Drosophila melanogaster: one gene and its partners. The gene in region 3 interacts genetically with the main gene of each other region. Each region holds a gene or a part of one and is shown on either strand. Other genes may lie near its edges.

Region 1 (10,611 bases), on a different chromosome or scaffold from region 3:
AAATATTTTTCTGCCGACAGCTGACTCCCGGGTATCGATATATAGATCTGTCGATAAGTGGTCTAAAAATATATGTTTTTAAATAAAAATAATTATTTTAAAATATTTAATGTTCTTTTATTCCCGTTTTTAAAGAGTGAAGTGTTGTATATTTATTTTACCAAAGTTTTAAATGAAAAGCTGATATCTAATGGTCGATAACACAACTCGATAAAATCTTATTGCCGCCATTTTTTAAATTCATTTTTTGAAATTTTGTGAATATTCTAGAAATTCCAAAAAAATACAACAATTCCTTACAAATTTAATCAAACATTTGTTGTTGTAAAAAATCACAGCACATACAATTATATGCCGATGAAATTATCCATATGAAATGGTCTACATAATAAATCCTATCTGGTATATAAAATAAAGTGGATTCAAGTTTGCTAGATAACTTATAGCTAAATATGAAAAACAAGAGAAAATTCTATTTAGGCGCACGAGTTTGTATTAAGAAATCGAGCTTGATTTGCATAAAGTCTTAGATAAGGATCTTATACATATATATTCAGGAAAAGGATAGCCCCGCACATCTATTTGGTTTATCTTGGACATGTACTCTGTGTACTTCGAATGACTCCAAGTGCGATTAGAAGTTTGTCAGCTGGATGCGTTGATTGCTCTTTGAGTATGAGACGACTAGATTGTCAGATTAGACTCCTGATCGCTGCCACTATCTGTAAGGATAACATGAAGAAGAATGCTTTAAAGTAGTCTGTGGCGTAGGTTCCCTAGAAGACCTGGCACCTACTCTCGTCAATGTCGGAATTCATGATGGAACTGGCCGGTGTCACGGAAATCTCGCTGCGCTCCACGTCCGGCAGTCGGGCTACACGTACAATGCATCTCTTGGGCTTCGGTTTTAACGGGAATGGACGGGAATTCGGAGAAGTCGACGACTTGATGCGCTCCAGATTCACGCGACACTTTCGGACCTGGTACTCCACCTCGCGCTCCACGCTCCGTTCGCCCTGCACATTGAAGTAGGGATGGCGCGGAATCTTGACGATCATTTTTTTAGTCTTCGGTGACATGGTTTTGATTATAAAATTGTTGAAATTTCTCTTTCAAAGTCGAAAAAACCTATCTCCGTAGACGCCAAATTTGCAGAGTTGGTAAACGTCGCAGGCAACCTCGAACTATCTATGGTGGTGGTGGCACTACACTACTCGAAAATGATGGGTAGATTTCAGCTATATGGAATGCTTATTTAAAAGTATGTGTAATATCTATAAAAAAAATTAAAAGAATTATGGAATGTATTTGGTTGTCCGCTCCTTGTCTTAATTTATTTACTATATATTTAAAATTTATATTATATTTAAAACTATTTATTTATCATTTTTGTTTGCCATAGCTGCAACTATTGCATTACACCGATATATACCACGGGTCGAGCTATCGATAGTTATCCATCTCGCCTGGCTTTGTTTTTGTGTGTCATTGTTAATTTTTCGTTTTCATAAATATACGAAACTGAACTATTAATTTTTGGGACGCAATCAGCCAACGCTATGAGTGAAGTGCAGACATTGATGGATATGGGATTCCCTCGGGAACGTGTGTAAGTATCGAATACAATGGCCAACTGGTCACCGGCAAAATAAGTTACACTGCAACAATCGAATTTGCTTTAATCCTGAAATATATTTCACAGTGAATATGCACTGGAGGTGACCAGTAACAAGGGCGTAGAACCGGCAATGGAGTGGCTGCTGGCCCACGTGGATGATCCAATACCATCCCGTCAAGGTGCCGGCGAATCCCCTGGTTCCACAGCTCAACCAGCTGCGGCTGTGGATTCCTCGGCCGCAGCAGCTTCCAGTAGCACCAGTGGCGCAGGTGAAACCTCTGCTCCGGTAGCCAAGTCCCTGAAGTGCGACGAATGCGGCAAAGTTCTTAGAGATCACACCGAAGTGGAGTACCATGCCGCCAAAACCGGTCACACCAAATTCTCCGAATCGGAGGAGGAAAAGAAGGCGCTCACCGAGGAGGAGAAGAAGGCCCAGCTGGCCCTCATCGAGGAGAAGCTCAAGCAGAAACGCATCGAACGCGAGGAGCGCGAGAAAATCGAAGCCCTGCAGCGGGAAAAGAATCGCATCAAGTCCGGCAAGGACATGACCGAGGCCAAGCGGCGCATGGAGGAGTTGGAGATGAAGAAGATCGTTGAGCAGCGCAAGCGCGAAAAGGACGAGGAGAAGGCGGCCCGCGATCGGGTAAAGGCTCAAATTGAGGCGGACAAGGCAGCACGCAAGGCTAGGTAAGGATTAGCCCTATCCTTCCACTTCATAATTCATTATAATTCATGGTATGCAGAGAACAAAAGGAATTGGGCAACGCAGAGCCAGCTCCATCCGTGAGCTCCACCACAGTTTCGTCACCACCGGCCGGTGTGAAATCTCCGCCGCGAGACTACACCGAAACCCGCATCCAGGTGCGCCTGCAGGATGGCTCAACACTACAGGAAACCTTCAACGTCAAGGAGCAGCTGTCCGCCGTACGTGTGTTCATCCAGATGAAGACCGGCATCGAGTCGCCCTTCTCTCTGATGACCACCTTTCCGCGCAAGCTGTTCGCCGAGGACGACTACGAGAAGCCGCTGGAAGTGCTCGGCTTGGTTCCATCCGCTGTCATCACCATGACCAAGACGCCCGCATAAATCTTTCCTACAAACTGGATATATTTGAATCCGGGTAATCTCTCCCATAAACTAGAACCTAAATACGAAAAAAACGCGGCGCGAAATATACCCCCCCCCCCCCAAAAAAAAAAAAAAAAAACAAGAAAAACAATTAATGTACGGTTTTATATATATATTAAACACAACAATCTCAAATACAAGTAAAGTTTTAGAGGATCTTTGAGGGCAATTATTAAATTTCTATTGAAAAGCGATGCTAACTTTCCAATAAACTTTTTTCCTTAAATTACAATAGGATTCAATTTCTATGGCTAATGATTGGTCCTGTAGTTCCTACATGAAGGGCTTCACAAAGTTCTTGATCTTCTTAACGCTTCGCTCGGCGGGTCGAATGTTGAGGTGCTGCCCGAATATGGTGAACTCCATGTTGCCCACTTTCATACCAAAGACGCACTCGCTCTTGGGTATTGTGCGCAGCCGATGGTCCTTGCCGAGCAGTTTCAGCACGTTCTTGGTGTCCATGACGCAGATGCCAGCCAAATTTTCCAGGGTGGAGCACTTGGACTGCAGCACCTTCATCTTGGCACCGTGCAAGTCCAGTTTCACCAACTTGCGGCTGAACTCGTCGTAGCGAGCATCGTGCACCTGGGGCACCTCGTCACCTTCCCTCAGCTCCAGATGCTCGCGTACATAGCCCTTCCACAGGTGGTGCAGTGGCAGTGCCTCCTCGTACTTCATCTGCTTGGTGGGAAGAGTGTTCAAACCAAGTGCCGCATATTCCCGGCGACTCAGCGTACTGGATTTGTGGGCGCGACGTTTTCGGGAGTGCTGCTTCTTGATCTTGGTGCCCTCCAGCATTGTGATGTGATCCGGATTGATGTTAACATTGCAACGCTGGTGCGGAATCACCAGATCTGAGATAAATTCCCTCAATTCACTTGTCGCGTGTTCCATTGCGTTGTTATTTAGTTTTATTTATTTGGTGATCAACAATATATCGATAGGCGCGGAACTCTATCGATGGAAGAAAAGGCGATATATTAATATTATTTTTTCAGATGCATAGCTGCATGTGCACTTCGTATAATACAAGCTAAATAATAATTATTGCTATTAATTATTAGAAACTGTATGTACCTGCAATTTTTCATATTCAACGCTGCAATTTAAAAATAACGTACATTCGGGGCAATCTGGCGTTGCCATCCTGCTTTTGCATTTGAAATGTCATAAAATACAAAAAATACCAACGAAATAGAGATGGAAATAGATATAGTGCGGGCACTCTAAAAACATCGATAGCCAAACCTTGAATTAATATACGAGTGGAAAACATCGGACCTATCGATGTTTCTATCGGTGGCCGACCACCTCTAGCAACGCCGAACATATGTTTCAAGTCTCTCTCAACTTTCGAACGGAGCGGAACGTCGAGCGCACGAATTCGGAATTATCGTTGAAACAAACGTCGCCGCGTGTGATCGAAAATCCAAGTTAGGCTCATTCGTTGGGAAGCTGCGAGGTAATCAAACGCCAACCGACGACCAACATCCGCCCGCCCCCCTTTTAGCCACGCCCCGCGGCCCGTGTGATAACAAAGATAATGCAATAAAGGGCAACCGTAGAAAAAAAGCTGTGAGAGAGCCAAGAAACGTGACCCAGGCAAAATTTTGTTTGTTTGTCTGGCTCTGCATATACATGTACATAGTTTAAACGTGCGTGCGATTGTGTATGCGCGTGTGTGTGAGCAGCCGTCGCGTTAGTAGTAGTAACACGCCAAACAACAAAAAATTCATCTCGCGTTATTTACAATAATAATTAAACAAAATTACAAAATTGTTTCCGTCTCGCCCGCTAGTTCACTCTCTCTCACACACACACGCACGAATATTACCCCCGGCGCGTTTTACTTCCATCTCGCTCCCACAAAGGCGGAAGAGTTAAACACAAAAAAAAAAGAAAAATAGAAAAGAAATTATAAACGAAAAACTGCCACCGCCGCTGCTCAATAATTTGTGCATTTTTTAAGGTAATTTAAAGTGAAATGGAATGTCTTGTTTGCATAGGTTAGGTTTAATTAGTCCGGAAAGCTAAGCGAAACCCTGGGAAATATTACATATCCCCGGGCGAATTTCTTTTGTCCCGTTACTTTTCGATTTTCATGCGAGCGTTTTTTGATTGCGTTCATTTTCTGGCGACTTGGGGGTGCTCGCCATTGTTTGGTTTTCAACATTTGTAAATTTGCATGAAAAGTCGGATTTTAAGTGATTTTTGTGTCTTTTGAGCGGCTTTTTGCGCAGGCAGCGCAGTCCGAAAATCACTCAGAATCGCACTCACATGCGCACACACTTACAATTGTAATACACGGACGCGCCCCGGTCGCGACAGCTAACGGCACTTTTCATGTCCTCTCGCGCGCTCTCTCTCACTGTTCTCCTCTCTTCTTTCTTTTTGATTCCTGTGCAGCATCATTTGCCACCAAAAATTCGAAAAGCAAACAAAAGTAACGACAATTAAAGTACAGTGAATAATACCAAAACCGGATTAAATTAAATCTAGCTTTTACAGAATATACAAAATATTGAGCCTAGTGGTAACTAGTAACTAGTGGTCGAATAGGAAATCAATTCTCAATAGTTTTCTTGCGTACTGTGAAAATAAATCAAGATTGTAAATTCTGTTAGCAACGTTTAAATTATTCACAATTCAACTGTCTACAAATGATTATTTATCCACTTCACTCCGCAGTTTCATCACAATGTCCTCAAATCTAATTTAAATAAGTAAGAAGTGTAACAAGCGACACGCAGCGAAACAAATAGCGCTGAATAGAGGAGCACGCCAAGGCAAACAGCAACAAATGGCCAACAATTGAATGGCGGCCATCAGTTGGCCCCAGCGGCATCCATTGAGCAATCAACACCATTTCTCCCACATCAAATCAAGCACCACTTCCAGCAACACCATCACCTCAACCACCTCAGTCACCACCGCCGTCACAGCTTTGGGAATCAGAACCACAGTCCAAGACCCAGTCGAAACCACCACCACCACCAGTAAAAGCCACAGCCTAGCAGGACCACAACCACTGAGCTCCATCGCCAACAAATACCAGAACCGGGTGCAGCTGCTCGAATTATTTGGAAAACTTGCCGCGTAGTCCATCAATGAGCGTTTCGATGTCACTGGTACAGGGTGGTGCTGCCGGTGGTGCGCCACAGGGCGCCAGCGCAATCTTGGCCGCAGCGGCTCCCTACTATCAACCGCCGGCTGTTCCCCAGGATGTTCAGCCGGATCGTCCTATCGGCTATGGAGCATTCGGAGTTGTCTGGTAAGTATAATGATTCTATATCTCAGTGCAATAATCCAGATTATGGGCGAAGGGTGTTGCCATAGTATTGGTACAATCAAATTTTTTCTTGGTTTAGCAAGCATGGTTATTTTCGGGTTGTTTTGCTGGTTGTCCAAAGACATCCCGCCGAAATGGGCAATTATATTTGAGAATTATAAGACAATAGGTGGTATAGAATGCAGAAAAGGGTGTATTAACGTCATATCCTATTATATGCTTGTGCCCCTTAAAGAATTCATGTAATGATAATTTGTAAATGATTTCATTATAAACACATTCGGTTAAAAAGTTGTAAGACCGACTTCGAATCCAAATGTTAATACCCTCCTGTCAATGTACTTTTATAATTCAAATATCTAAAGATTAAACAGTTGTTCTTTGACTTGAAAAAGTCTTTGTTCTATTCGAAGAAAGGGTATCTGCAGCGTCGTTACTTTGCTGTGCGATTTTATGTCACGGTCTCGCCGTGGGTTCAGCAACCTTCTGCTTAGGCCTTTGATTCTGTAACCCTTTTGATTGTGTTGCTGCTGTTGATGTTGATGTTTTGTGCAGCGGGCAACGTCAACATCCTCGTACTCATTTCGATTCAGAACCTCAGTCCCGGGTCTCAGCTAGCTGTCCTTCATGGTTTTGTGCCTTTGTGCAGTTTTCAACGTTGCTGCGGCCCCCCGAGGGTGGATTTTTCCTATAATATATTTCTTACCCTAAGCGCGCTGGCTGGCTGACTGGCTGGCTCTCCGTGTTTTGGCCTCCCTCCCCCCCCCTCAATTTGGACTTTTCTATTTGCCCATCTCCTCGTTTATCGGCCTCTCTCTGCTTTTTTTTTTCTATCCCCTCGACTCTTTTGATTTACATTTGTGTGCAAAATTTTACATTAATGGTTGCTTAAATGGGGTGAGCATTGAATATTTGTTTGTTTACTGGGTAAAGTAAAATATCTAATATGGATTAGCAACATTTTGTTATCAATGTAACCGAAAAGCTGCAAATCTATCAAGCAAATGATTTTAACATAGCACAAAAAAAGGTGGCAATATGAAATCATCATATCTATTTATTATTTAACTCGACTTCCTATCAATTTATTCGTAGTGTAGCCAGAAGTTTGGCAACGCTGCATTTACAAATTTCATTCACGTGTAAAACGGCATTTCCGGCTATAATCAAAACGCAAAGTGAGCCCAGTTTATCGGGCGGGTCTTTTGAGGAGTGCTGCCGGTGGGGGAGTGGTCGTCGTTGGTCGTCCGCAGGGAAGCCAGTTAAAAACTGGCACACAAGGGGCCCCGATGGTTTAGGCACAAGGAAGTGGAAGTCCGAAGACGAGCCACAAGTGGAGGAGCCCAGTGAAATACACAAAGCGTGGCGGGGCTAGTGGAAACTATGGGAGGCTAGAAGAGGCCCAAGAAGAGGCCCAAGTATATCCCTCGATACACCGCCTTCCCTTTGGCCAACTGAAAGTGGAGCCCGCGAAATGAAGTCGTTGACGTTCGGATTGGCTTCACACAGCAGTCTTTAGTAGCAACGGGTCTACCAGTTGCTAACTTGCAATAATATTCATTTACTTTCAAAGTTACACCATTGTAAGCCATTGCCCCAAGTCTAAAAAGCTGCATACTATGCTATTATTAATCCCTTTTTTAGTTGGAATATACAAAAGTTTCTCAAATCAGGATATATAGGTCATATAGTTTTGGTACTCCCAAAAATCCCTGATTCACTTTTGAAACGTTTTACTCCACTAGACTAAATTGTGTAAGTTGCTGAAGTTATGAGCTCATATTTTTGTTGTTCCAAAACATCGAAGTTATGGAAGTTGGACTGCATATATCTGCAGATCCTGTCCAGCAAAGTAGGGGAAGTGCATGGAGAGCGACTAGAACTTGGGCTGGAATGCAATCAAGCGTTAAATTCAAGAGCCAAATGTCGAACTTGTTAGATGCAGCCGGTCAGCCTAGGCTAGGAAATGTGTTTTTCGTATTTTTTTGTTTACGGCTTCTTAGTTAAAGGTGGTGCCTGTTTTTCAGAGAGGCGGTGCGGAAAGCCCAAAAGCAGGTGAAGCGTGGATTTTCAGGTGCGGAAGGAAGTGGCCGGCAAATGGAGTGGGGCCCAAGTCGTAAAGTAGTTCTCGTTTTAAGTGAACTTCGGCAACGTGGCCAAGTTAGAATAGATACTTTAACAAAATCCGCTTAAAAAAGTTTTGGGCAACATTAGTTGTTGTCCAGTCTCATGAAGAACTTTTGCAGTGAAGTAAAATGATTTATTTGTAGTTTTTTTTTTAACCAATAACATAGAATCCAATTGATAGAGAGTAACTGATTAATTTGCATAAAATTCCGTTTAAAGATATTTAAGATATTGGCCCAGAATTAAAACCCTTTAATTTAACTGTCTCGCCCTCTGGTCAATAAACGCAAATGGCTAAAATAAAAACCGAATTCGATGCTTAGTGCTAGATTACTCAATTTATAATTTGTTTCCCAGAAGTGGCACTGTAGAAACGAAAGAAATTCGAGGCAAACGTAACAAGAACAACAAACATTTAACCAATTAATCCTAGACACAGTTCTACGAAATTTCCCCAATGCAACCGACTCGTAAGAGTCAAGAAACGGCTGAGAATTATATGAAAATATATATATATATAAGTGTGTACGTATATAGTTATATATTTGTATCCGAAACGTCGGTATGTATGTACGGATGGACGGGACAGACGGCGGGCGACTCAGGTTGCGCAGCAGAGTCGCATAAGAAATATGCTATAAGGTATCCCAAAAGACGAGCGAATGAGCGAAGATCTTTGGGCTTTACTTTAAACTACCTGCAACTGGTTTTGGGAGGTGAGCAGGCAGACGACGAACCATTGGACGGCGGGACAACTGGACAGTCGGACGGAAGGTAGGAAAAAGACAGTGTAAACCTTTTGCCTGCATCGACGAAACTCGCTTCCTGCACGAATTGTGGCCGGTGGACTTCTCGACTCGATGCGATTCAACTCGAGCCGACGACTCCAGTCGTCTCCAGTCGACTCCATTCGGACCTGGATCTGGCTGGACCTGGACGTCAGCCTGGCATCCCGGTGTCTTGGCCCGGTCAGCCAGCCCAGCCTCTTGGCAAGGTGTCTTTGGTCTAGGCTCACTCAGTCACTAACTCACTAGCAACTGATTCGGCTTAGCCAGTTCAGTTCCTGTTATTTTTAGGCTGTGAACCAGCGTTCGGCCTTTGCCTTTGTTTTGGCCAGTTACCCGAGTTCCCTTGTTCCCTGGCAACAGGCTCATTTGGCCAAGAACAATTTAGAGCCTTTTAATAGCCTTTATGTTTTATTGGTACACACACATAATGTGTACATTGTGGTTACTTTGGAACGCAATGTTGAAATGGGACAAATATGCTGTAGTAAAATGTTAATTAAATGTCTCGCAATAAATGATATCTGTCAGCAAGCAAAATGTTACATTGTAAAATTGATATAACCGATATAACAAGATATATCCTATGATAAATATTCTAAGCATCAAGCTTTAACTAAAAATAGTAATAAACAATGAAACAAACCTTTTCTGTGCATATCTTTGTCCTACGCCAAATGCCTAATGAATATTTAAGGGTATGTTAGTCCTCGACCTTTCGTTAAGTCTGAACTTTTCGCCTGCACAGAGAGTCCCCCATCCGATTTCTATCGTCTCGCAAATCCTGTGCTAATCTCAGTCGGGGAGTTCAGTTCCCGCATGGAATGGCATGGTACCTTTTGCTTTTGGGCCGCGTCCAACCACCGAAAAAGATGTGTGTTTGTTCAAAGGGCCAAAAAGGAAAGCAGTGCACATGCATAGTTTTATTTACGATACCACTCATTCCAAACTCACACAATTCCGAACTCGTACAGTGGCTATAGGCCATCCACTTTTTGGAACAGCTGCTGTCGGCTGATTTTGATGCTTCGATGTGTTTTGCTCCTGATGCTGAATCCCCCTTCCGAATTCCCTATCCTGTTTATGGTCTTTTGCTGCGGTGGTTGCTTGCTTGCTTGCTTGCTTGCTTGTTTGGTTGAACAACCTTCGCCCGTTTTTCAGTTATTTTGTCTGGCAAACTCATACATGTGCACAACCAGCCAGACGGTTTACAGGATATGGTTGTGTCGTGAGGTCCCGCATATGTTTTTTTCCACTCTCGTTTCGATTCGCTTCCCTGCGAGTGCAACATCCCGAATAGCACCGAATTTCAACCATCATCACGATGAACCACCATCCCTGCATACATGCATACATATATATATATATACATATATATTTTTCCGTCTGTTGCAACGACAAAGTTTTTCCAAAAACATTTTCAATTCCACGTCCTCCGTTAGGGGAACACTTTTCACGTCTGCCCTCATGTGGTTGTGTATGATTGACTTTGAAAGTGTTTGAATAATTAAGCTCAAAGAAGCTGGGGTCGGAAAAATCGAATTTTTGAAATTTGAAAGCTGGAATCGTTTGCCCATTTTTTGCCCATGTTTGCCCACCAATTAGTTTTTTTTGCCCACGTCCAGTTTTTGAGATATGAATTTTCGAAAAAGTTCGAAAATTTT
Region 2 (10,351 bases), on a different chromosome or scaffold from region 3:
CTGAATGTCCCGTCGGATGAGCTCTAGCTCTGAAAAGGGATAGGGTGTTGATTATGGATTTCAGTTTGGTATCCATCGATGATAATCGAAAAAAGGTTTGGGAAACCCCTTATGACTCATGCTGACCAATATGCTAGATTTGTACCCATATGACAGCATTAAATAAGGTCTCATCTTACCCTGTATGGCGTTGTACTTCTTTCCCAGGACCCAGACGTCGGTGTTTCTTCGGGGAATGTCCTCCGGCTCTCCGCTGCCCACCGCCTGGCCAACTGCACTAGCGAGGACGCTGTCTGGGCCCAAGTACGCCTCGAAGACGCTCTCCATGATCCGCGCTAGCTGGTCGCTGAGTCCAACCAGCATCTACTGCCCGGTGCGCTGGCAGAAGGAGAAGGGGGTGGACACCAGGGCCTCCGCTGCTCGTCTATACGATAATTGCCTTCGAATGACGTTCTGTTTTTCGGGTGGGCCTTTGTTTTGGCCTGTGTTTTCGCTGGCAGCAACGGCAATGCTCCTGCTTCTGGCCCGAGGTCACAGGGGTTTCATTTGTTGTTGGCAGTGACGGGCGCTGATTACAAACTATGCGATAACCAGCATTTGATCAGTCTGCGGCTGGTTTAGTTTGATTTATTTTTCTTTTTTGTTGATTACAACGCAGTGACGTAGCTGTTAGTATGACCGCAACTGATAAGGTATTTTACTTTGCCAAAATACCGAACCTTGCACTTAACATGACCATAACATAGGAAATAACAGTATTTTTCCAAACTGTTAATGAAATGCATTCAAAAATGAAGTTTTTTAAAAAATATTTAATTTTTTTCTTATTTTACGCAAAGTATAGATTTGTAACAATGTAAAAACTTCAAAATTGCACGTGCGGGACTTCAAACTAGCTACGCTACCTTGAGTGCGCAGAATTTGTTGTTCAGATCGAAGAAGTCGTTTTCTGGATCGGCATCCTCGACCATTTCCGCATTGGGATCCGCGATGGCCTCCCTTAGCTCCACTTTCCTAGCCGCCTGACGCTGCTTCTTCAATCGCTTCTTCTGCAGGGCCTTTGCCGCCGTCGGATCCACCTCCAATCGCTTCCAAGTTGGTATAAACTCCGCGCACCAGTCGTACAAGTAGCAATAGAAATCGAACATCAACTTGGAGTCGGGCAGCAGGAAGTTCTCAACATGGTAGCGGACATCGGCACGATTCCTCAGTACATCATACATGTTGTAGAGAAAGGCGCCGCAATAAAGCTGGTTCATCCTCGGACTCAAAAGTGGAAAATCCAAAAGAGAATTTAGCCCATTGAGTTGGTAAACCACAGCCTGAAATTCAGCAAATGCGTGGATAACCGTGGTGGAGTACAAGTCAAACTTCTTTTTGAAGATCTCCTGCATATGGAAGTGCGGCAGTAGGCGTTCCTGAGTTAAATAGCAGTCCGATTTGGGTACATGAGCCATCCGATCTGGAACAGAAAGCTCTAGCAGAGCAGGTTTGATGCCGCGCTTAATTCCCTCGGCAGCTTCCTTATCCCTCACTGCTCGCTCTGCTTTCAATGTCTTGCCAAATCTTTTAAGGAAGGTTTTCACCTCTCGTTCAGCAGGGATTGTAACATCTATGGTTCGTAGGACAACCAAACTAAGGATCAGCGAGTGAAGATGCAGCAAATCACAGTGCTCCGAGCGATGTAACCAGTAGATAATGGCCAGAAAGTACAGCCTCAGGTCCTCCGGCAACTGGTCGAGCTTGCTGAACAACTTCTCCGTATCCGCATTGGGAGCATTGTCTTCGAATACAGCTCTTAAATGCCTAGCATCCGGCGAAAGAGGATCAAACGGATAGGCAGGCTTCTTTTCAATGGGCATCTTGAAATACCTCACGTTCGTCACTCGCAGAGCTCTGGTGAGGTAGGTGAGATAGGGGACTGTCGAACCCTCTATATCCATATCCACTTCTAATGGTAGCTCAATTTTCTCACACTCTACGTGATGGAGAAGAGCGAACACGTAGTTCAGGATGGGTAAGGCCACTTCATTGGAGTCGTGGAAGGGAAAGTGCTCGATCTGTGGGTTGTTGATGTACTTGCGCAGGTGCATAAGGTCCACGAAGCTGCGGGGCAGGTGCGCGGGATATAGTTTGTCCAGAAACCATTGTGGGAAGAGTAGCGTTTTGTCTTCCACTTCCAGCTCGAGGCCTTCATCCGCCTCCTCTTCTTCTTCATCACCCGAATCAACGTCTTGATTTTCTTCCTGCTGCTCCTCATCTTGGTTATCAGCTTCCTCCTGATCCTCGCCTTCTTCGACATCTGAAAATTTTTCATCGGAGCTAGACGAATGTTCATCGTCGCTGCATTCCTCTTCACTGACGGGTTCTATATAAGGAAAAGCATTCTCGTAGTGCTCATCGAAGTAATCGTAGGCGTGGCACAACTCGTTGGAGTAACCAGAGATGGCTGCATTCACTTGGGAGACCAGGGAATCACGCTGGTTCTGCAAGAATATTATTTTTAGCATAAATCGGAAAAAGATATCTCAAGCAACGAACCTTTTTCAGTCTCGACAGCACTTTAGCCAGAGCAGATTCCGCCGTTTCCTCCTTCAGCCATGTGAGGATGACCTGTATGCGCTTCTGCTGGAGCTTTAGTTTGCGACTTCGTCCTGCTTTGCCCATTCCCGCAGCAAAAAAGTTCTTGAAGGCACTGCGGGCAATATAGTCATTGCCCAGGAGGGCGGCAAAAAGGGGTAGCTTCTCGGGACTCAGAGTTCCTCGTCCGCAGAGATGGGACACCCGGTAGATGCAGCAGTCGAGGTACTTGTAGGTCTTGGAACTGCCTTTTGTACTGGCTGTCAGCCCTGTGGTTTGAATGCCAGTCACAATCTTGTTGGCCCTGGTGCGCTTCTTCACATTCTTGGCCTCGCAGTGACGTAGATCTCGACTGTCCTTCTGGTTGCTGCTGTTCTTGTCCTTCACCTGCTTGGTGAGAACCTGGGGTACATGGAATCGCTTAGTATATGCTGGAATCCAAATAACTTATGCCTTACCTTAACAGTCAGCGTGATCAGCGGGATGTACTTGACGTTGTGGATGTAGAAATCCGAGTCGTAGGAGAGCACTGGGCAGTTAAGTTTCCTGGCCAGAGCAGCCAACTCGTCGTCCGCCTCAAAGACGCACCTCATCACCGGGACTCCGCAGTCGCGCACAGCGTCCACGAAAACCTCCTTGAGGTGCAGCGGGAACAGCGTGATGGATGCATTGGGGTTTATCTTCTTGATCACGGAAATCTTGTTGCGCAGCCGGGTGCTAACGGTCCTCAGCTTGCGCTCCTCGTACCCGCCGTCCATGAGCACATAGGGCCGAATGTTGCACTCGGCCAGAACCTGGAAGAACTGCACCACGGCGCGGTAGAAGTCGTCGTAGTCGCCGCCGAAGGCGGAGTAGCTCCCGGTGACATCCTTGTACAGATTGCAGCTCAAGTTGTCGCCATCGATGACCAGCGCCGTGGAGTGCAGCTCGTGCGGCTTAAGGTAGATCTCCGCGCGCTGCGCTATGTAACTGGTCAGGCCGCGGACTCCCATTTTCCCGGCGCTTGCCTATTTTCCCAATTTTCTATTTACCTATTTTGCACAAACTTTAAAAGCGTGCTAATAGTGATGTCAGTTTGCAGTGCGATACTATCGATGTACATATCGATTCTTTAGCGTGGCCGTTCGCTGCCGTTTGGTATATATGAGCGATTAGTTTGGTATCTAGGGTATTTCCCGCAGCCGGATGGTATATTCCGGGGATGGCGCCGCGGTCACACTCTGTCCCGACAATTCCAACCCGACGCTTGTCTGCTCTCCACCCGCGCATCAAACGTCGAAAAATCGTAACGTCGCGAGTGCTACGCGGTGGCCAGGAGAAAAATTCGCCAGCAATAGCAACACTTGTACCGAAAATCTAAAGGAAACTGGGAAATGTACTAGCACAAACACAGCGAGTGCAGTGGAAACCGAAATCGCCATTGAATCGAAGAGCGCGTGCATATATACGGGTTCCGTTGGTTCCGTTCCGTTTCTTGTCGCTTTTCTTGCACACACTTTACCACTTTACCTTTGCGTCTCTCGTTTCGTGCGTGCGTGTGTGTGTGCGCGGAGTGTGGTGTGCGTGCGTGTGTGTTGTTTTTGTGTGTTCGTTTAACTAAAGCACAGGTAGAAGGAAAAGCAGCGGAAAAAAGAAAACCATGGGCGAAATATGCATATGAAATTAAGTAAATACAAGGCGACAGCAGCAGAAAACATCCAGTAGCAACGAGAAACAACAACAACAATAACACACGTTAATAACTCAGCTTTGTGCGTCTTTCGTCTGCGCTTCACATAGTATTATTTTTCTCTTGGATTTTCCACACAAAAACACCATGAGTGAGCGAGCGAGAGCGACGATCGTGATCACCGTGTCGTGAATGAATTTTTGTCAGTGTGTGCGAGGCGTGCTCTACGCACACACACACGTACGTAAACAACACAACCACACACGGCCCATCATCGATCACCAATCACCTGTGTGTGTGTGTGCGGCATTTAATAAATAATTGTGTGCAAATAAATGTTCCAAAAGGAAATTGTTAAGCCAAACCAGCAAAAAACGTAAATCAACCGTGCGATAATTCGTCCTAGAGTTGAAAAAAAAAGACGGTTCAAAAGCAAGTGCGTGTGTGCAGAGTTCTTCTGGTGTCTTGGGAGCTTCGTTTTACGGATACGAAACATATATAACTTCCCTCTTTGCCGAAAAAGGTGAGTTCAAAATCAGGGAAAAATCCCTTTCCCATTGGCCAAGGCCGTTCCGGGAAATCTGCGAGTGGTCTTGGCCCACGTTTCCTGTCTTCCGCACATTTTCACACGTCCTGCAATTGCAATTTTTTCCGATTTCCCAACTCTGCACCTCCTGTATGTTCGGCGATTCCCACGCCTCTTTTTTTCGGGGCAGGTATTCGCAGGTAGCGGAAAGAGGAAAAACCCTCGGGAAAGCCGATAAACTAGAGAAAACCTCTGTTGGTGGGCCGAAAAAACCAGAAAAAATAGAAGAATTGAAATGTTTTCCCTGGCTGCTGAAACAGAGAAAATCGGGCGAAATTAGGCACCCGCTGATTCCAGAAAATTGCTCGTATAATAGAAACATCTCACTGGGGGAGAAATAAATTATCGTTATTATCATCTGCAGTTGCAATTTGGCACAATTTCGATATGACTGTGCTCCCATTTGCCCGGCGATTATGTAATTTTCGCCGCTGTGCTCGAGAATCAGGTTCATTTTCCATATGAAAAAGGGGGCTTTGCTGCAGACATTGCATATATGCCGACGATCTGGCGACCACCGACAGTTGCCAGCAATTTCCGGCGCTTTTTGGCAACTGGAAATCGAGCACAAAAGTTCATCCCAGGGCTTAGAGAGCCGCAAAAGGCGTAGCCATCCATATTCACCCCATCCCAAACGCATTTCCCAATGTGGTTTATAGTTTTCCTACAGCTGTTGCGACTGCGATTTTAACGATTTTTACTGGTAATCCGGGGAGGAAGTGAAGTTCATAGCGGTTCGACCAGTTGATACCTCTTAATAAACTGTTTGTAGGGCATTTCTGAAAAGGAAATATTCCAAAGCGAGATTTGGTTAGTCTCAATCCTTAGAACAGCATTGCTCACTTCCTTACACAAGTGCATACTACCCTCGCATACCCTGTAATCAGTGGGCACCATAAAAAGAGTTTGAATTTCAAATAAAATCCACTCTCCGGCACACACACAAGTCCACTGGGGAGCAGCTGCTGTGTGTCTCTTTGTGCTTGGTCTCAAATGACACTTGCCAGCGCTGCTGCTGCATATAATTCCGAGTTCTGGGGAATTTCCTAGTAGGAAGTGCAGGGGCCACAGCGAAAACACCAGCAAGAGTCGCACTTGATGATTGTCTTGCCACGGCTATTGCCGTCCCACTCTGGAAACGTAAATAGAGAGGCCCGATAAAGAGCGGTCTCGAACTTCCCCCAGTTGTGTTGCCTCTAACCCAACTGAAACTGAGTGGAATCGAGGTTTTCTGGCGGCATAAAATTTGATAGCAATTAAGATATTTGTTAGAACTGTTTCTAATGTCACATGTGCTGCGTGTAGGAGTCTCATCCTGCACTATCTTGTTTTTCGCACTTGCCCCGTTCCCATTTCCCGGCTGGTACTCCAGTTACTTGCCGCAATTGACCAATTAAACAATTGTCTTTGATTAAATGTGCAAATTTGTCTAATGTTCTGCACTGCGCGTATGTGCAAAGCGGATGTGCCCGCTTAAAGCTGCGCTTAAATTGCCCGCGTAATTTGTCACTGATCTCACTTTCTCAATTGGCGATCTCTGATTTCTGAGATTCCTGATCTCTGCCTGGCCAATTAGGCGTCATTATGCGGCAGGCAAGAAGGCACCGTTAGATGGAGCCATTGCAACAGTGGCCAGAATAATAACAGCGACTAGGAAATAATGGCTAATGGCCTATACCTTTGCCCATCTAATGCTTCTTGACCTACAAGCCTCCACAGGCCTCTCGCGTTTCCTGCCCGCTTTCATTTACTGTTAATTATTGTTTAGAAAAGCGCGGGGGCGGGGGCCAATAATAATAAGAAGAAGAAAAAGCAGCAGCATTGGCCAATAAAAGCTTGCAAACAATTTCGAATTTCCAAATGGTTTGAAATGCAGCCCAGCTGGCAACAGAGGAAAAGAGGCAGCCAAATCAACCGAAAGGCAACACGGGGCCATAACAACAATCTTGCTCGCACATTCATAATAGGCGAAACAGAGGCGGCCAAAAAAGTAGGACTGTTTCGTACAAAAATATATAGTAGGATCTTAACGAAATGTAGTTTTCATAGGATCAAATGATAATGTACTGTGTTTATTCGCAACTGAAAAATACAAAATATTCTGACCAACTGTATTTTTAGATAACAGCAATATTTGTAACTACTCTATTATTCCGAGCCCTACTGTACGCATACACACACACACACACAGAATCAACAAATAAAGTAATTATTTCCTTTCACATGGCGAGCTACCTCCAAAATCGGAAAGACATAAAGAAGAATATAAAAAGCGGAGAAGCCCCAAGACCCAAAAATAAAATCCAACAAAATCCGCTGTCGGCGTCGATTCCTTTGTTGTTGTTTTGCTGCAGCGGTCCCAACACGTGCAATTGGGAGCGAGCGAGAGGGGGAGAGTAGGAGCGAAAAGAAACTAATAGGCCAGTAGTACGAATCGCAGAGGAGTGAGCAGTGCAGTGGCAATTTTGCATCGATCTCCCACTCAATGGGCAAAAAACGGAGCTCGAAGTTGTGAGTGACATGTGTGAGTGAGGCTCGAAGTGAATGAATGGCACAATCTGTGATTGATTCATGCACAACTAGATGACTAAATTCGCTTTCGGCCCATTCTTTCATATCCGTTAGCTGGCCACTCCTTTTGTCCAAGTTTGGTCAACCAAGTTGGCTCGCTCTTTTGCCATTTAATTGATTCATCCACACCAGCAGATATCTGAAATCTGAATCGATCCCAAAATGACACCCAATTTCACTGTTCTGTGAATGAATACGGTTTTTTTTATCACGTGTATGTGGGTGCGAGTGCGCCATCGTCTTACGTTGTAATTTCGCGACTCTATGTCCGTCCTTGTCTGTTGCTAATAAATCAAGACCCATGTTCATTTTGCAACGGCTTTGGATACCCTACAGTGGGTTGCTTCGTTTTGTCAGACTCAACAATAATTGCAAATGGTTTTCTGTGGTTATTTACAATTATGGCTATAAACCTCATTAAAAGTCTTGAAAGCTGCTTAAATTGATAATTACAGTTCCAAAGAAGTAATCACTCATATTCATTGTATCATCATTTGGAAACATCAGTCATTGCAAACACATCAGTCATATCAGTGTCGAGGGTAATCCGCATTCGATGCAACGCTTTTGCCTCTTGTGTTCGCTAGTTTTTGCCATTTATGCAGCTACCGTGGGGCGCTTACGTCATTGGCCGGCTTGGTACATATTTGGCCATGTTTTACTGTTGTCAATTGGATGCTATTTGTGGGCTAAATTTCTCGCTGGCGTCAACACAAAATATTGAAAGTAGGCAGCTCGGATTGAGTTGAGTCATTATCTTTTCTTTTCTCGAGTTGTGAAATTTGCTCCCGAATACCTCGGATGCGCAAGTACATATGTATGTACATACATATGTGCCGACTGTTCTACACATTTTCTCAATTAATAATTTCGAGCATTCAGTTGGAGGGAGAGGTGCCCATACATACATATCTACATACATATATAGCCCATATATCATTGCCAAGATCATCTATTGGCCTCTCTATAGCTGCGTCTATAGCGACACAATGTGTCTGAGCGAAATCCGTTTGGCATTTATTTACTTGTCTGTCTTCTGTTTGGCCAGTTTCATTGGAAAATTCACTTTTCGCTAAACAATTTCCATAAATGCAATAAATTTATACAAATAGCCCTGTTAATGGATCGCATCGATCTGCTTTACAAAGGTATTCGGAGCATTGTTTTGATTTGCCTACGCCAATGCAGCCAATTCGAAATAAATCGAGCCACATTCATGAATGAAATAATGAATGGGAATGGTGTTATGAACTTAAGATCGAATGCGGTCTACTTTTTCGCCTTTTTGCGGTTGGTGGTCTTGTGGTCTGTGACGTCAGGTGATAATATAGTTAATGATAATCAGTGAATCTTTTTGAAGGGATTTTACCTCATTAAATTTTAGTGGCAAAATTGCTTTATGGATTAAGTGATTCTTAGTACGATTAACGGCTCGTAATGCTTTTCATCATCGACCTGGAAAATTTCCAGAACTTAAGGTCTGGCATCTGGTAAATGGAAAATGATCAATGCCGAAACTTCTTACAAACCTTACGCATTCTATGAAATATTTATAAAATTCTCCCCTAAAATAGAGCTGAGCTGGCATTATTAACCTGCGGAATCCACATTCAGCGGAATAGATCCCACTCATCATATCGTTATCCAGCGCAAACAGCTGACTAACCCGGCGATCGCCGAGGGGTCCCAACTACATGGACGTGGATCCCGACCGAATGCCTGTGGGTGGTGCAGCTTTTCATAGCCACCTACACTAACTCACTGCGCCAATATTTACACAACATTGATGGACATATACAGCGTGTTTACCTACTTTGTAGGTGCTTCGGTTTCGGTGCCCCTTGTTATGCGTACAAACATACCCCTAGCCTAGCCCTATGTACCCCATAGATCGGGCTATTTACTTGCGTATTATTCTGCCGCTATTTATAACTGGCGTACTAATTTGTAATTTGTTTAATGATTCACTTAGCGAACTTTATGAAGTGTGGGAACTGGAGTTGTGAGCCCTGTATCTACGGGCACTGCTATCCACAAGCCACAATCTTGCAACTGCAGCACTTGGCTTGTTGGCCCAACTCGTTAGTCGCGATAAGATTGTTTCCGAGAAGTCCATAAAGAATATTAGCTTTGATTTGTGTTTAGCATTGCCCCGATCTATCAGCGTTACCTGTTGTGGGGGCTTATAACACAAACCATTTCCATCTATTTTGGCTCTTCATCCTCCGCGAGGTGTAAACAACTTCTGGCCGGGATCTTCGCCGCCTTCAATAAACAACTAATTTCAATGGGCTATACACAAATTAATTCGCAATTTGCTGATGAGCATCTCTGCCCGACTTCTGGAATTGTCTCGGCATTTTGGGGTAAAGAGATAAAAGCAGACAGTACAGCCTTAGGATTCCCAGACACTTTTCTTATCGATTACATCAAAGTGCTGGTTATTCTCGGGGCTTTAAAAAACCAGTTCTCATTTCTCAGTTCTCAGTTCCCTCTTTGAAAAAGGTAAAGCCGAGTGAAAACCACAATAATAATTCCCATAATTATAACAATGAACCGCACAGATACAGAAATCCGACCAAAAAAAGAGATATCCAAGTGTCGCCGTCCCCAAAACAACAACAAATAAAGCGACCAAGAGGCAGAAGAAGAGGAAGACGAAGAGCAAGAGGTGGACGAAGAAGAATCACAGTGTGGTTGCTTTGAAATACAAACTTTTGTGGTTACAAGTTTTTTCTAGACCACAACACAGCAAAGGCTGTTTCTTCTGTCTTTCGCTCAATGGCAAAGCCAAAGAAGTTGTGGCTGCCAAAACAAAAACAAAAACAAAACAGAAAACGGAAAAAATAACCAAGAAGAACCAGAGATGGATGGTTGGTTGGATGGATGGATGGCGAAGGTGTGTTGTGTAGGAAATGATACGGATACCGGGCGAAATAAAGTCG
Region 3 (10,665 bases):
GTTTTGCAGTTTTGTGGCTGTGGCCGAGTACGAAACTGGTTTTTGGCCAGCATTTTGTGGCGCGACTTTTGGGCAGGCAATTCAGTTCTCTTGAGTTTTAGAGCCTTTGTCTAAGCACACACAAAAACACACACACACAGGCACAGCAGATCTCGGCGACAAGATGGCGTCGTCTTAACCGGTTTGGTCCTCTCTTTTGTTATACACACAGAGATTTTGTGAAGATAGCCCCTTCCATGTCCCCAATCTGTGCTCTCTTCTCTGTTGGCCAAGTTAATAATGCTCGCCCGTTCTCTTTTGCAGGTCTTGTGGCACTTGGACGCCTTTCGACGATCGTTTCGCGGCCTAAATCAGCACGTATGCGGTGGCCAAGACTGTATCTTTTGCGCTCTAAAGGTGAGTTCGAATTGATATTCAAGACACAAACCATTCGAAGATCGTAAGACATTGCTGAGAACAGTTTAAAACATATATGGTTTTGTATCTGTAAGTTTATTATTAATGAGGGATTAGAATTAAGAAACGCACCATAAACATTCTAACAAATAATTGTAAGATAGTCTAAGATATTTCTTTGATTTGTTTTATAACTTATTTTAGATTTTAATAATGAACTCTGGCTTTAAAATCATTTGGTATCGGCATTCGAAGTTGACGGTCAAAATAAGTGAAGCATACTTTTGGGCTTCGCAATAGTTATGCTTGGTGGATGTCATGCGAACTTGCACATTAGAGAAATTCTCGTCTGTAATTTTCTCTCGCACCCAAATAAAGCAATTAAGCGCCAGGGTCAGGTCAATTTTCCCAGTTGCCTGTCTGGCTTTTCCAGATTTTCCACCTCCGATTTCCAACTGTTCGGCTGCACCTTAATTGCCAACATGCAGCCTTGTCTGCCTTGGAAAATCATCATTTATTCACACGCAGGGTAGGAGGCCCTTTTCTCATCTGTTCAGCTGCTCAAGTGCGTTTTGTTTTGTGATTTTCCCCAGGCTCAATGTTTTTCAGTCTTATTTTCCCAGGGAATGGGGGAAAACCGGGTGAAAAAATTAAATCCTTAAATCGGCATGGCTGTCCCGAAAATGCAACATTCAATGACTTTACCTGGCGGCCAGGTTCACACCCCCTCCACACAACCTTGCGTGTCCAGGGCTGTTTAGATCCTTGTCCCGGATAAGTCCTGGGATCCTGTAGTCCTGGGCCACTGGTCACGCCTGTCAGGACCTTTGCCGGACCCTCTAGCGTGACCGGCACTCAACGCCTCGTTTGTCCTGTTCTCACCTCGTAAAACCTCGAATTAAACTCGCAGTCAAGTGCAATTATGCAAATGCCATTAGATTCGTTTGAACTTGATATACAGTATAATTCGCTTAGCTGCCTCGAGTACTTTGCACAATGCCTCGATGCAGGTAACTTAAAAATGCAGCTAACTTAATTTTTTTTTTTCTATTTTCTATTTTCTATTCACACAAAAAAATGGAAAAATAATGCAGATATCTTGCCGATGCAGCTAACTATCGATGCAGCTAAGCGAATTATACTGTAATAAAAATACAAAATACGAAATAATCATGTAATAAGAACCACTTATTTGCACAACTGCAGTTCACATTTCATTTGAGATAAACCAGAACGCAGCACTATATCGACTGACTTTTGATATTAAAAAAAAGTGCATAATTACTCCAGAACGGGAAAATCAACAAGTCATCAAAAAACAAAAAAAAAAAGGTCATGATAGGCTGAACCGAAAAAAAAAACTTGGGGACTCGAGAGCCATGAGGAAAACCATAAGACAGTCACCCTCTCAGGCGGCTGGTGCAATATACATATATATAGAAACCAGACCAGCGGATGATGAAGATCATTATTATTATCTCAGTGATCATTAGCCAGAAGAGCAGAGTAGCAGAAAAGCAGAATAGGACCCAAGCTCAAACATAGGCCCAAACGAAAACCCGGAGTAGCATCTTCCATCGTGCTAACCCCTGGGCAAGCGACAAACTCGTGACGTTCGGGAAAAACTCGGGCCGCCAACAAACAAAAGGCTAACGACTGTACGCGACTGTACTTTTTGGGCCAAGACGCTCTGGCCACAAACAAAAAAAACAAAAAAACAGGGTGCACACTGTGCTCACAGTGGGTCCGCTCTCCGCAGCGTTTTCCCCTTCGTTTTTATTTTTTTTTTCGCTCCTTAAACATTGATGACGACGAAGTGGAAAGTGTTGGTGCCTCTTCTTCGGTTTGTTTTTGTTTGACTGTTTTGTTTTGACTGTTCTGCACCTCCATGCCGTCGTGTAGTAGTGCCCCCAAACCCACCGATTTGGCCCGGAAAACCATGGCTGCCACTTGCCCACTTGTTTGCTGCCACATATTAAACGAGAAATGAGAAACGAGAAGGGTTGCCCCTTTTGCCTTTGCCTTTGCCTTTGCCTTTGCCTTTGCATTTTGCATTATTTATACGCGGAGCGGCTAAATTAATTTTTACTCCACCTTTCCCGCGGGAAGAAGACTATTTAATTATGAAAATCGTCGCACTGAAGACGTTGGCCTTTTTCAGCTGGGAAACTCCCACGATTGCGATCGCATTTTGACCGTTCCCCACGCTGATTGTTTCATATAAGAGAGGGCTAAGAACTTCTTCTTGATGAAAAATCGTCTCGACAGTTTTCTCGGCGCTGTCATGCTTCAATGCACAATTCTCATTAGGAAGGGCCCAGACTTTTCATTCTGCATTTTCAGAAATCCACACAACCAAAGGACAAAGTCATTAGTGTGTGAAGAAGAACCAAGAAGACAATGTCCTCTTTACCAGGAAAACGATCCATACAGATCCATCCAAAGTCCGTGCCGCAGACACTTGATGATCGTGTGCCAGTTGCATGGGCTTCCACTTATCGCTAAGCTCTGTTTGCCCTCCAAATATATATGTACATATGTATGGTATATGCATACTCCAGATTTGGATTTTTTTTTGGTTACTCTATAATCTGGATGGCATCTAAAGCAAGTGCAAACACACACAGTTTTTTTTTTTTTTAGTTTCATTGTTTGTTCAGAGCCACCATAAAAAGGAAATCCAAATTACCATGAACAAAACCAGAGTTGGAGGTGTGTATTATGTACTATATAGTGCTGGTAGTATGTACATACATACATACATATACATATGAGAAGGGCACGAGTGTAGAAGGTGCTAATCGGAGATGCAGAGACAAATCCATTTCCATCTTCGCCATATCTCAATCAGTGTGATTCACTCTTCAGCAACGATCAAAAAAAAAAAAAACCCATGTACGTTGCCGATCTTTACCTTTAATTTTGTTAAGCTTTATTTCGTTTCTTCTGATTTTCGTTGTGCTTTTTATTATGTCTTCAATTTATTCGATCGACGTGCGATACGAAGGTTTTTTATTCGTACAAAATACGACAACTTTTTATTTACCGCCATGGCAAAGAAATGCAGTCAGTCGGCGATAGAGAATCCATCAATTATTGAATAGTTTTCTTAGTTTTTGTTTGATATTTTAGCCAAGATCGCCTTTGACATATTAGAGAAAGAAACCTCAGCGTGTCAATCCATCAAAATGGCCAGTGATTTGTTTTCGGGCTATCTAGTTTCTATACTCCCCAAATTGGTCAAAACGTTTTGGGCAAAGTTGATTGATCAGTTCTGTGTCTTGGATAAAAAAAAAAAATTATAAAGGCTAACGACATTTTAGTTAGTGATCATCCAATATGTATCCCTATATTTTATCTAATTTTGATATTTGAAGCCAATGCTGTCAAATATAAATGGAACATGCTGGGTATTTAACATATGTATATAGTTTTGTGACGTTTGTTATGCGAGTGTGTCCTATGCCCCTTACATCTGCATCTTGGTCTTGTGTGCAGTTTACTCTGACCCAATCAATCAACTGACGTTACACCTTCATAGTCTGGCCATGAGTCACTGTTTGACTCCAGTTTCGATGCCCCAACTCTCGCTTCTTTTTGAGTCATGGACTCGTTGGCGGGTGGATGGTCCTAAACTTTTGAACCCAGAGAAGAAAGAGGCCTTTTGTTTACTCCTCGTTTTGTTTTTTTTTTTGTTTTTTATTTCGGCATCGCAGCCGCAGCAACTCCTATCTTACTTTTACCGCTGCACTCAGCTACAGCAAATACAACAAATTTGGGCTACAAGGTTTATGGACGATCGAATATATTAGGGCTTTCCATGGAATCGCTCGGGGTTTTTTTTTTCGTTTCGTAGGCTTTGCACATGCGCACGCGTTTCTCTGGCATTCCCGCTTTTACAGTATGACTCATGAATCTCAAGATCTGCAATCTGCGCACCAAAGACAACCATGGCCACAGACTCCAAGCTTGGTCTTAGACCTATGCCTATGCCTATGGGGTTCTGGTCTATTATTTAAGCTGCAAGATGATGCGGACTTTTTCTATATACCGCTGGCTGCAATTGTCATTTTGTCAAAGGTATATCCGTGGAGGCTTACAGGGTGCTTCGTCTGTGGAAATCTGAGAATCGAATCGGAGTGCTGAGAATCTCGAGAGAAGAAAGAGAGAGAGAGAGAGAGAGAGAGACGCTGTTTACCTGCTCGAGCAAGACATTTACCTGTTTGGCCTACTACAAGACAAACTCCCCCGTTTTCGAGTTCGGATTCGGTTTGGGTATGGGTTCGGGTTCGGGTTTTTGGTTAGGGTTTGCTCAGGTGAGTTCGCTGTTGATATAACTGAAGTTCTTGTTCCCCTGGAAAACCAGTTTCTCCGGAGAGCCAGCACTGTATCTCCGCTCTGGACTGTGCACCTTTCTCTCTCTCTCTCTCTCCCTCTCTCTCATTTCGGATGGCCAAAAGCCAAGCGGCCAAACGAGTTTCAGTTGCGATACAAATTTCCCAGTCGGCGGACGTGTTTTCATCGGCAGTCGGTCGCTTTTGCTCCATCCATAAACCCCATCCAGAATCGAATCTCAGTGGAAATCAAAGTGAAGAATTGCGCGCGCGGCAAAAAAATAACGCTGATTCCTAACGAGTTCAAATAAAACTGATTTTTTTTTTGTGCCTTGTGCCTGCAAAAGTTTACTCAACACGAACGACCAATACATTCAGCAAAGAGATCCAGAGTTGTGCTCAGATCGAGATAAATCACTGGATTACTTTTATAAATACAAAACAGAATATAGCTTGCGTAAGTTGAAAACTTAAACAAAGCTCAAACAGAACTCAAGTTTTTGGCCAGTTTTTTTTTCCCCCCCCGATTTGATTATTAGAAATGAAACAATGAAGTTTGAGTTTGAAGATCGCAGCTAGGTGGTGCTCAGTTCAAATCGAATTACCTGTTTCTTTTCCGTTGGTTATTGATTCTTTGATATTCGACGAGCATGTGGGTCCGGTCCGCGTCAAAAATCATAGCGGTCCAAATGGCTTAAGACCGCCAACCGCCAACTGCCAACTTGTTTTTTCCTCACCTTTTGTGAAGATCTTTTGGTATGTAAATGCCTGGCAGCCCGCAGCCTTCGTGGAAACCTGCTACGAACAGGTACAGTGGGCACTCGCCTAATGCATTTATGCTGCTTATTAAAGATTAATCTGTGCGCCGCACGCAGGCTCTTTTTATATGCTCGTACGTATGTACATATGTACATATGTACATACATACATATATCTCTTTCTCAAGACCCCTGGTTTCCCTAGGGAAAGTCCAGGGAAACACGCGATCTTCAAGTGCGATTTTTTCTTATATCCAAAAGGGGAGTGTTTTAGTTTAAAGTTTCAATTTGCATGGACTCTCAACTCCACTCCACTCCACTCCACTCCCGCAATTGAAATGCAGGCCGTCAACCCGAAGTTGGGCTCCTTCTTCTTTTGGCCCAAACCAAGCCATATGTCACTAGTCCAGCCATCATCATCATTATCATTCTTGGACTCCTCTGTCCCAGTCGAATATTAAGCGGCAGATTTGTGTATTTATGGGTAATTCTTGGGCATCCAACGCCTGCCTAGCATATGTAAACATGGAGCCACTTGAATACAGACATTAGCCAGAACTACTTGAAACTCGCCTCACGTGCGGAAATCACTGCTACAGGTTGCCGTTGCAACACTCCCCCTTCGCCTTGCCTCGCACAGGAATCAATTTGAATATCTCTAGGATTTGAATATGAAAACGGTGTTTTGTATATCCAGAGAGTTTTCTACATATTCTGCTTGTATTTCTCAAAGTAAAGCATAACGATATACTTACGATAAACTCTGCAGCCGACGACAATGCATTAGAATAGTTCTTGCCATGTATCTCAACATTTTGTATGGCTCATTGATCTGCCAGTCATCGCTGTTTTCGCTGCTGGATTCTCGGCTTAAGACATCTGCAGCATGGAGTGCAAGCTGCTGGTGGCAGGTTGCTAGTTGCTAGTTGCAGATTGTTGGTGGGCTATTGCACGTGTGGTGTTCCCACATTTGGCCAGATAGCCCAGGTAGACTCATTCTTTGTCTCAATCTGGCTGAGAAAAAGGTCAGTTCTGGCTCTTTTGTTGCCGCTGTAATTGCGGAAGCAGAAACATTCAGCTAAAGCCAGCGTTTTGGCCCCCGCTTGTGGCTTAACAATTAAAGCCCATAAATCATCAGGCTTGCAAAAAGATAAATAATCATAAAGCCACCAACAAAAAAACAACAGAAGCGAGCAACAATAATAAGGAGTAATAACAATAAATGAAAACATTTAGCTGCAGGCCAGCTTGTGTTGCCAACTCGTTTTGCATTCGACAACAGCTGCCCAAAGCTCTCAGTATCTGTATCTGTATCTGTATCTCTAACTCTGGTGTGTATCTGCGATCTATGTACATACGTTTAGAGGTGTGCAAAGCCAAAGTCCCAAAGCCCAAAGCCCCGATCTATAAATAGTGTCGGTTGGGTTAGTGTCTGTCTCAATCTCAAGGACTGCCAGTTCGGTTTGCCCGCCAAGTGTCGCCTCATCGAATCTCGAGACTTGAGACTTGAGCGAAACTCGTGTTTCGCGACATGATCCACAAAATGGAGGACAAGACATCTGGCTATAGCGATGCACTTTTGAAATATCGTCCATATAACGTTTTTTTTTTTTTTTGGGAAAAGCAAGCGACTCTAATTTCAATTTGTTGGCCTAATCGCCTGTATAATATCATTTTAATTCTTAGACGTAACTTGATTACATTCCATGCGGTTAAAGCCATTTTACAAACCACTGTCATTTTGTTGAAGACCCCTAGTAGTTTCATTCGGGGAGTTGATCGCATTTCAAGATAAGCCCCTTGTGCTCTGCAGTTGCGCACTTCGCGCAAATCGTTGGCCAATTGCCGACTAATTACATGTACATGGCCTAAATGATTCGCCAACTTCCACGTTTGTGTGGCAACAGTGTGGTCCAGTGCCTGAAAAGCGTCCAAAAAAGAAAAAAGGCCCAAAAGCTGGAATTAAAGAGCGTGACGTTTGATTTTAATTAGCATGCAACTGTTTTGTCCAATGAATGCCCAATTATATAACAACAATTGAGCAGGGCGGGAACACCCATTCCGCTGCAGTTTATCTGGAAAACGACAAGTACTGGAAGTTCGAACTTCCGCTCGCCAACGTCGACTTTTCCGCTTATTAAACATTTTTCGGAGTTTCGGGTCAGATCGCTGGCCATAAAATCCAGAATTGTCACCCAGTTGTTGTTACTGCGTGTGGCACTTAAAAATACATAAGCCACGTTTATGGTTCTTTAAACGGGCTGCAGTCATTCGCTCTTCGTTTTTCGGGGAAGATAACATAGGTTTTTGAGAATTTTTAGCTAAGAATGCACTGCTGATTGTAAGTTCACCTGGTCTCTGCTTAATTGTGTTAATATTTGTCTGTATATTTGGCTGTGTTTTCTCTCTACTTGAACTTGAGCAGTCAGTCATGCGAAGTGCAAACTGATGAACTCACAACTCAAACTTCTTTCCCCCAACTTTTCGTCCCTTTTCACGATCTCGCTCAAAACTCAAACAGTTGACAAGTGTTAATTGTGCCGATTCCACTCCCAATTTCGATTCAAGTATTTCGTGTGCAAAACAGATCTTTGCGTATTTATTTATGAGGATCGTGTATACGAGTAATGCGAATAAGACACTTTAAAAATCGATTTTCAAATTAAAATATCTTATGTTTGTTATTCGAAAGGGAAAATTGTTTAGCATATATACTTATTGCCCTTTCGACATTTTTAAGATAATTAAAGAACGGTCTTGGCAAATAAACATACATACATACGTACGTGTTTGCAACAATAATGACTTTTTAATCATTTTTAGCAACACAATTGTGCTCTGTGCATATCAGCCTGCATTTAATAATTTTAGGCCAACTCATTGTTCGTGTCGGGTTGCCGTTGCTTTGGCCAAACAATTGTAATTGACAGCAGAAAAGGCAAAAGGCGTTTACAGATCTCAGCCATATGTCGCATATGGCGTCATTCTTGTACCCCTAAAGCCCCGCCGATGCCCTGGTAGCTCCATTAGCTTGGACCTGCGGCTCCAGGTCTCGGGTTCCATCGAGTGGCACTTCATTTTCGAGGCGTCAGCGGTTGTCAGGCGGCAACATTAGACCGTTCTGCCGCTGTACCGCTCGGCGCTTACCGCTCACCGCTTACCGCTTACCGCTTAGCACTGCACATGCAATTTGCTGTTTTTAGCTTTGCAGCTTAGCAGTTTTGAGAAACCGCTGACTGACTTTTCTGGGGCTGGAGAACTTTGTCTCGATGGCTTGGAATATGGACCGGTTTGTTTTGCTGGCGAAACTTTCGATTGGCCGCAAATGAGGTCGAGAGCAGGCCAAAAGCGAAAGTCAAGTCCAGTCGAGTTGCGTTTAAGGCTTAGGGTGTGCCAAATGATGGTTAAAAACCTGTCGCAGCTGTTATCGTACTAGTACTCGATCGATATGCCAAGAAGTGCTCGTCTCGTACCTACCATTAATTGCCTCGAATCGCTACTTAACTTCCTCTTTAATTGCTGGGGGTTGCAGATTGCAAATTGTCGTTTTTTGGGGGCTGACTTTGCACTTTAGTTCGCACTTCCGCTGGCTGACTTCCCCCTTTTTTTTATTTGCATTTTCGAGCTGACTAGAGTAAAAAAACACTTAACACCCTGCCTGGCCAAAACTTGAGAACTGCATAAACCGGCGAGTGGAGAGGTAAAAGCTAAGCAATTTTGTAAAACCATTTCCACAGTGCCATGTTGTGACTCTGATTACCGGATAACAGCAAGATGATCAAGTTCCGCTACAAAAGGAAAGAACCCACGAATGTGGTGGGCGTAGCAGCCCCAACTGCAGGAGCAGCAGCATTGGGATCAGGAGCATCCAGCACCCCGGGCACATCCCCAACATCACCTGTTTCCGTTCCCGTTCCCGTTCAAGCCCACCATCCCCATCCCCAGTTGGGGCACCTGATCAGCAACAATGGAGGCACCCTGCCAAGGAGTAGTCCCCGCAAATTAATCCTGGATGGAGCCGACAAGTCGGCCACATTGACCCGCCAGCAGTCGAAGCAGAAGTCGGTCAGTGCCTTGGCCAAAGTGGCCAGCAGCGTGGAATTGGCCGTAATGGGCTATAATAGCACTGGCAATGGCAATAGCAATGGTCATATCAACAGCGCGGGAAATTCGGAGAGGGATCGGTGCATCAATGCGGTTATCGTAAGTTTAGGGAATAATTTAACATGGGGGAAGCTCTAAATGATCAACTTTTATTAGTCTAAAGCCAGAAATGAAACGCACACAAGTATTCACATATTTTGTTTATTATTTAGTAATCTAATGTAACTTAGGAAATACTTTATATTAAATAGCTTACATAATCACTCAGCATTGTCTTTCGAAATATTCCTCACTATAGTCACTGTTCCATGTTGAAGTCTTCTAACCAACTTGTGCTCTTCCTGCAACAGGAACTTTTCCAGCAGCTGCAGACCAGTTCTGAGCCCGCCTTGTGCCCGGAGCCACTGCGTCGGGCTTTGGCCAGTGGTCCATTGGCTGGACGGCGATTCCCACTCGGCTGCTTGGGCGATGCAGCCGAATGCTTCGAGCTCCTTCTCCACCGCGTCCACTCGCACATTTCGCCGGATGACGGCGACTCCTGCGAATCCTCCGCCTGCATTGCCCACCGAAGATTCGCCATGCGCGTCATCGAGCAGAGCGTCTGCAAGTGCGGAGCCAATTCGGAGCAGCTGCCCTTCACCCAGGTAAGCAATGGATGCATTTAACGAGAATCTTATAGAATAGGATTCTTAATGAAGCCATTAATCAAAGCAAAGCGACAGCAATACGTTGGGCAAAGCTAATTTTATGGAGTATACTTAATTTTAATGGAATATATAGAGTTCGCTTTAAAGTTTTTAGTGTCATTTACCCTTTTTTTGTTTTTAATGCGTATTAAATCATTGTACAACGTTTTCGCAAGTGTAGTCAACCCGTTTGTCTGTTTCTCCGATTGAAGCCATGAACCGCAGATACAATCGCCGATCGAATCAGAGCCAAACTCGTGGCGTGGGTTCCACCAGTTTGGATCCGAGCACCTGCAACATACGATGTTGCACTTGCCAAGTCTTGAGTGTGATGAATGTCTTGTCTTGAATGTCCGCCACTTGTCTCTCTGTCCGAGAACAGTTACT

The links.
Region 1: of ec (region 3) and nmo, changing one suppresses a phenotype caused by changing the other (phenotypic suppression), as found in Drosophila melanogaster (one study listed by BioGRID).
Region 2: of ec (region 3) and S, changing one suppresses a phenotype caused by changing the other (phenotypic suppression), as found in Drosophila melanogaster (one study listed by BioGRID).

The regions. Positions count from the first base shown.
Region 1 is NT_037436.4:7,974,966-7,985,576, forward strand, and holds the start of nmo (nemo), read left to right. Parts: upstream 1-4,080; 5' UTR 4,081-4,208; exon of another isoform or gene 4,209-4,544; 5' UTR 4,545-4,715; intron 4,716-5,434; 5' UTR 5,435-5,853; coding exon 5,854-6,017; intron 6,018-10,611. Other genes in the region: HP4 (heterochromatin protein 4), read right to left, coding at 685-722, 797-1,079; CG8209 (uncharacterized protein), read left to right, coding at 1,560-1,609, 1,703-2,305, 2,362-2,704; POP4 ribonuclease P/MRP subunit, read right to left, coding at 3,020-3,640.
Region 2 is NT_033779.5:1,071,256-1,081,606, reverse strand, and holds the start of S (star), read left to right. Parts: upstream 1-3,791; 5' UTR 3,792-4,772; intron 4,773-10,351. Other genes in the region: Atg4a (Autophagy-related 4a), read right to left, coding at 1-29, 180-363; ast (asteroid), read right to left, coding at 897-2,486, 2,542-2,982, 3,039-3,572.
Region 3 is NC_004354.4:3,841,021-3,851,685, forward strand, and holds the start of ec (echinus), read left to right. Parts: upstream 1-4,877; 5' UTR 4,878-5,187; intron 5,188-9,225; 5' UTR 9,226-9,262; coding exon 9,263-9,691; intron 9,692-9,942; coding exon 9,943-10,236; intron 10,237-10,665.